2 linked regions of the Callithrix jacchus genome follow. The protein of the gene in region 2 interacts with the protein of the main gene of each other region in a biochemical or structural test. Links are inferred from orthologs where the notes say so. Each region holds a gene or a part of one and is shown on either strand. Other genes may lie near its edges.

Region 1 (3,520 bases), on a different chromosome or scaffold from region 2:
GCCTGGGTGACAAGAGCAAAACTCCATCTCAAAAAAAAAAAAATGCAATCACAAATAGCTCTCCTCAGTTTTCCCAATGAACACAGAAACATCACCATCAAAGGAAAATATATTCCATTGCCAACAGTAATAAAAGTATAAAGATTAAGTGAACATACTAGAACTTCATAAAACATTTATAGAGAAAAATGGATAATTAGGTTTGTCTCTCAGAAAATTTTTTCTCTTCCTGTCTCCCTTCCTTTCTCCCCAAATCTAATCTGTTTCAAGGTAAGTAATACCCTAAGGTTATTTTTTTAATCACATCAGTTCCCAATTCCTCTACAAGAGACTTTATTATTTTAAAAAAGCATCTCTGGCATGAACCATGACAGACCTTAAAATAAGTCATTTACATTAGCCAAAAAAATAAGTCATTTACATTAGCCAAATTACAATAGTGTTGTCTTCCCGTTTTTGACGCATTACTATTGTCAATTTATATAAGAAGATGTTGTGTTACGATTTTCTACATAAAGTGCAGAACAATGAGAAAACAATCTGACCTCTTCCTGTGCTAAAGGCACAGGAAGCATTTGAGGAAAGACAAATGGAAAAGCATCATTACCTCTTTGTCATGGGCGATCAGCTGGGTCTTCACGTGGCCAGACACAAGATTCACTCGCCCTAACACCTGCCCTGTCTCCAGCCCCCAGATGGTGCACGTCGTATCAATGCTTGAGGTACCTGCAAACAACCAGTGCGAGTCAGGGCTAAGAGGAGCAAGGTTCTCAGGCAAGCTTCCCTCCTGTGTCTACTCATCGCTAGGCCCAGAAAGCAACATACCATAAAGACTACAGAATACAATGTGGGGGGTACCTGCAGAGCCACAGAGTCAAATACTCAATCCTCACTGTAGGATCATAGATTCTAAGTGGAGAATTCAATCCTCACCATAGGACCTTAGATTCTAAGTGGAGAGACAAGAGCTACACACATGTAAAGCTCGCCCACATGGAAGGAGTTAATACATAACCACATTCTACACCAAGCCTACTTCTCACTTGGCCTTGTTGTAGGATGATACAAGGACCAGTGTGACATCTGAGAAAATGTATTTTGGCTTCTTCCAGCTGAAATACTACTCCCTAACTCTCTTACCTAAAAGATAAGGATCCACCTCATTCCAGTCAAAGGAGGTCAGGGGAGCACAGAAATCAGAGTTCTTATTATTGTTTAGCAAACACTCCAGCCTGGTCTCTGTTTCACCAACCTGAAGGAACAAGAAATTTTTTTTAATTAGCCAGTCTTATCCTCATAAAAAGTCTTTTTAAAAATCCCTGTTTAGAGAATATCCTAACAAACATATAACGTGAGGGAAAACATTTTTATCAAAAACAGTAACAAACCCAGGACTCCCTGAATGCTACTTTTCCCCATACTTTCTCCTCTGCCCAGCTTTGTTTTCTACATTTTCATCCCTGCATCTTCCTAGGGGAGAGGTCTTCTCACCTTGCCCAACCTGGAATCTCTGCACACGTGGACTAAGGCCGCACTCATGCTACAGAGAACGCTGCTGCTGCTGAGCTCAGGTGAGGGCGGAGGGAATCCTCCAAAATCCACTCACACATTTCATCAGAATCGATGCCCTGGTATTTGTTACTTTACTCAAAAACATCTTGGCTGCAAACAGAATATGAGTTCCCAAGTATTCCCACCTCCACCGAAGGCTGTCATTGTCACATTGGGTTGACTGAACTGACTGCAGTCAGCAGCCAGACTTCATGGACTCTTGACTTGATTTACTAGAAAATCTGCTGAGCCAAACAAGGTCAGTCTACTCAGGCTTCGCTTATTTCTCCCGTGCAGCAATGACACTCGATGCCTCCCACTGGTCTGTTCTGTGACTCCTCACTGCTAACAGCTGAGGCTGAGAAAGCCCACTTGTCTGGCTGCTAATAAAGCATCCGCTTACCCTCCACACACGGAGATAGTCGCCGCTTGTTGCCAGTAGGTCTGGATAGACGCCTTTTGTGTCAGGGATCCACATGAGCTTTGTGGTGGGATATGGGTGGTCAAAGGTGTTTCTGCAAATAAACTCCGAACTCTCTTCATCTAAACCAACAAGCTGAACCTGTAACATGCCAAAGTTGAGACATATAAGCATTTGTGAGCAGTATAGCAAATACATTAAATCCCTGGTAAGTGACAGTCTTTTTTTTTTTTTCCGAGACGGAGTTTCGCTCTTGTTACCCAGGCTGGAGTACAATGGTGCAGTCTTGGCTCATCGCAACCTCCACCTCCTGGGTTCAGGCAATTCTCCTGTCTCAGCCTCCTGAGTAACTGGGATTATAGGCACGTGCCACCATGCCCAGCTAATTTTTTGTATTTTTAGTAGAGACGGAGTTTCATCATGTGGACCAGGATGGTCTCGTTCTCTTGACCTCGTGATCCACCCGCCTCGGCCTCCCAAAGTGCTGGGATTACAGGCTTGAGCCACCGTGCCCGGCCCAGTCTTTTTTTTTTTTAAGACAAGTTCTTCCTCTGTTGCCCAGGCTGGAGTGCAGTGGTGCGACCACAACTCAATGCCGCCTCCATCTGCCAGACTCAAGTGATCCTTTCACCTCAGCCTCTGAAGTAGCTGGGATTAGAGACATGCACCACCATGCACAGCTAATTTTGTTCATGTTTTGTAGAGACAAGGTCTCACATGTTGCCCAGGCTGGTCTTGAACTCCTGGGCTCAAGTGATCCTCCCACCTCAGCCTCCCAAAGTGCTGGGATTACAGACATGAGCCACCGTGCCTAGCCAGTGACATGAGTCTTGACACTATTATACTAAACTGCAGAATCAAAAATGATTGCCTTGAGAGGGCATCTAGTCCAACCATCCCCTGGCAGACAAGGAGGCCCAGACTCAAAGGGGTGGTTACACTCAACACTACAAAGCCAGTAGGAGACAGAGACAAGATTTGATTACAGGTTTTCTGACTCAAATCCTGCATTCTTGACTCCAACTACGTAAGTGCACTATCTGCCAAGCCAACTACACCTTTCCCTGAAACCCCTGAGGTCTTTGAAAATGAATAGGGATGGTTTTGGCTGCCGAAATGACTTAAGTGCTGAGGATATTTGGTGCTCAGGGGCCAGAAATATGAAATACCCCATGCAATTTCATTAAACAAACTAATGCTCACTTAAAAATCCAATGGTACATAACTGTCACCAACTCCAAACTCAACAATGGCTCATTATGTTTACACATAAAGGTATGTCGAATGACCGCTCAAGAGCCCAAACCACTGTGACAGGAAAAAAAGTAGGCACCATTGATGAGAAAGTCCCACCTAGTTCTGATCACTTTTTCTTAGAGTCAATTTTAGCTCACCATTAACTTCTAGTCTTTACTGTCAAACTCAACCTGGCTCAAAGGGAAATTTGTTTATGAACATTTGTTTATGTACATTTGTTATGTAACATGTTATGTACATTTGTTTATGAACTTCCAACTGGAAGATGGAATGGTGAGTGTATTTGGTAAA
Region 2 (3,520 bases):
AGATAAATTCCAGAGACAATGCCACATAAAGATTCAAGTAACAGCTGTCTCTGATCAATAGCTTCCTCTCTCTCCACCTCCATCCAAGACTTCTTAGAGAAAGACAATCCTGAAATGGACTATTTTCAATGAAGTAATGCAAGGACGTCTTCAGAGACCAATTTGTTTCACTTATCAAAAGGGAGAAAGAAATAAAATCCTCCTAATGAAATTTCCTAACTTATACCCTAACCATGCAGCCAGAAAGCTCATGAAGTTTTCTGTGGCTCCCACTGAAACCTCCAGCCAAGTCATCAAGAACAATCTCAGGCCTACACAGGCAGGTCAATCAACCTTTAGGAACTGTAAGAAGAAAGTCTAACTTAAAGAACTGGGAAGAGGTACTACACTTCTGAGTTTTTTATAAGCCAATAACCATTGCTATTCCCTAGGCCCAAAGACTCACCACCACTCCTGAGACTTGTATTTCACAGCTTATGCCAAAAACTCTGTCACATCCCTATCTAACTTGTTTAAAGCAGTTAGATTCCAAAACACACTGGCCCTACCACCTTCTGATTCTAATCCAGTAGATCCACAGGTGGGGCCACTGCATGCCTATTTTAGACATAACTTCCCATGTGATTCCAATGAATCTGAATAGTTGAAAATTTATTATAGGGATAACTGGCTCATTTTGACTAGACAGAAATAATAATGTTTAATATTAGGACAAAATATACAATTTGGCTTAAATAGGGGGAAAATGCCCCAACTCTAAAATCTATTCAAATTACTCGCAAGATGGGCATTTTTCATTCACAATATACGCTATCCCATATTAACTACAAGCATCTCTTGATTTTTTGAAGGCATCTAAAACTGCAAACTTTGCTTCCTACTCCAATTTTTAAAAATTACTTCAACAGTCAATAGCATCACCACCATAAGAGAAGCTGCAGAAAGTAACAAAAAGACAGTCCTACTGGCTAAACAGATTAAATTAATGTTACAGTTAAAACTTGGACAAAAGTAGGACAGTACAGAAAATTTCAATAATTTGGAAAAATAAGAAACAGAAAAGTCACTATAAAAAATTAACATCTGTATGTTAGTTGGGTTTTCCTTTAAAACAAAAGAAATATAGTTTCAACACTTTCAAGCAAAAGGAACAGTGTTAAAAATCAGTAAAATATTATCAAATGATGGTAGCAATCCCTTTAAAGAGGAGACACCTGTAACTTCTATTTGATATATGAAACAATACTGTTAGAGTAGTTTTCATACTGCTGTTAAGAATGATAGGAAAAACTGCTTTCCTAAATCAGCTAAACATACTATCATCGCTACGAATACATCTGTTTCTAGCAGTCTAAAAAAAATCACTTTAGATGTGGTAGAATTTATGTAAATTTTTAATAGTGGAGAAAATAAGACAAATTTATTTATCAAAACAAGTCTATCAACTAAATTTTCTGTGCTTTAGTAGCATGACTAATCAAAATTACCTGCATTTTTCTGAACCATCAGTTTTTGAGGAAAAAGATTTATCTTGATAAATCTTTAGAGAAATATTTTACAGCAAGGATTCAATGTTCCAGTACTGAAAAGTCCCAAAACTTACACTAAAACCTTTACTTGGGAAAGTTACAAATCCCCTAATATTTAATCATTCCATGTCCTATTCTCTTCCCTTCATCTTTTAGCATACATATTTTAAATACATAATTATTTTAAATATACCTATTTCAAAAAAAATCAATGTCTTTTGAGTCAAAGTATTGCTATTTGCATTTTAAAAGGTATTTCTCCAAAACAGGTATCAACATAATTAACTGCTACATTTTAAAGATAAATAACCATCCTGTAATTGTCTCTAAATGGTATACACCTCATTAACATTTCAAATATCTATTAGGTAGGAGCAAAAATAATTTCGGTTTTTTCCATTTAAAAAGTAATGCCATTAAAAGTAATGGCACAAACCACAATTACTTTTGCACCAACCTAATACCTACACTGTTCTACTTACTTCTATTTAATTCACAGGTTCTGAAATAATACTTACCCTCTGCCCCAATTGACAAGAACTGCCAAAGTCAACGATCTTGATTGCACTGCGTTTGGGGTTACAAAGAAGGATATTTTCAGGTTTTAGGTCACAGTGAATGATACTAAGTTCTGGAGTCGCAAGGAAAAGCAGTGCAGTGCACATCTGCTGCGCAAACTTTCGTGTTAGATTCAAAGAGACCCCTCGGAAATTGGTGTTTCTCAACAAATCATAGAGGTTGTAGGACAGCATTTCAAAAACTAAACAGAGATGGTTTCGAAACATAAAGTGGCGTTTCAAATGCACTGAAAGAGAAAAGAGTTTCATTTTAAATTATATATACCAATAAAATGAGAGTAACATACACACGGACTCTCAAATGACCTAGAGCATTAGCACAACGTCAAATGCAGAGTCAAACGTTAAAGTCTGGAGATCAGCATTTTGCAGTAATAGCAGTTTTGAATCAGTTAAGAATATCTAAGTTGCTCTTCTGCTGAATTAAACAGATACAGTGTCTGTCAGTAAGTGAGATACAGGGTAAGTACTACCAAAATGCCTTGTTTCTTTAAAAAGTCAGATCTGAAAACACAAGTAGCAAACGAACAAACAGTAGTAAGACTATTTCAGCAATTTTATCTTCATTTATAAAAGAAAGTACTTTTTCCTTCCTGAGAGTCCTACCTCACAGCTTCCTATGTCTAAACTCCACCTACTCAGATCTCTGATTTGTGACAATGCTGTACTTGGCAGCCCTCTGTGTAGGCTTTGAAATTTATCTGTGCTGCAGAACTTTAGATTTCACTAGTAATTTTGTCACAATTTTTGATGATAGCTTTTTTGTTACCCTTTAGGTAAATACAACAAATGTTTGAAAATCATGCTTTAGTAAAAGTATTGGAGTGCTTAACTGTGTTCATCAAATTGGTAAATGAGAACTCTTGGGTGAGACTGAAGGTTTGAAAAACTTCAAAATAAATCTCAACAACAAGAAGAGATGATAAGAAGGCTTGTGAGTGGTGAAACAGCATAGAATACATAGATCGCTATCACTGTTGACCTCTAAAAAGGCTGAATACTCACTAAATTGCTTCAAACATTGTGCTTTAAGTATTGACACTGACTTCACATCAGATGAGGTTATTCGATAAAGTGCTGTCCCTGACTGTTAACAGTCTTACATATACCAAACTGAGCACCTGTTACACAACTGCAATGACATAAACACCCATCCTGTCAAGGTTACTTTCATTTTGTCTTTTAGTATTACAAAATGAGAGGTTTCGCTACAGATCTATCTAGAATAAACTGAAAGTAATCAATGTGTGATCACTAACTGTGGATACATTGTGTTTTCCTGGTAGTACTCCTGGGCTTTCTGTCTCAAAGCAGTGAACATCAGTACCGTTTTTAGATCTTTAATGATATAGGTGATCTCAAGTTAGAGTTAATTAACACAATAAAAATAATCACATAGTTATATAAGAGTCT

The links.
Region 1: the proteins of DYRK1A (region 2) and DCAF7 form a complex in vitro, tested with the Homo sapiens proteins (2 studies listed by BioGRID). The link is inferred for Callithrix jacchus from reciprocal best matches to the Homo sapiens genes DYRK1A and DCAF7.

What each region holds. Positions count from the first base shown.
Region 1 is NC_133506.1:88,856,299-88,859,818, reverse strand, and holds part of DCAF7 (DDB1- and CUL4-associated factor 7), read right to left. Parts: intron 2,114-3,520; coding exon 1,955-2,113; intron 1,253-1,954; coding exon 1,141-1,252; intron 727-1,140; coding exon 608-726; intron 1-607. UniProt on the Homo sapiens protein: Involved in craniofacial development. Acts upstream of the EDN1 pathway and is required for formation of the upper jaw equivalent, the palatoquadrate. The activity required for EDN1 pathway function differs between the first and second arches.
Region 2 is NC_133522.1:43,454,639-43,458,158, reverse strand, and holds part of DYRK1A (dual specificity tyrosine-phosphorylation-regulated kinase 1A), read right to left. Parts: intron 2,335-3,520; coding exon 2,048-2,334; intron 1-2,047. UniProt on the Homo sapiens protein: Dual-specificity kinase which possesses both serine/threonine and tyrosine kinase activities. Exhibits a substrate preference for proline at position P+1 and arginine at position P-3.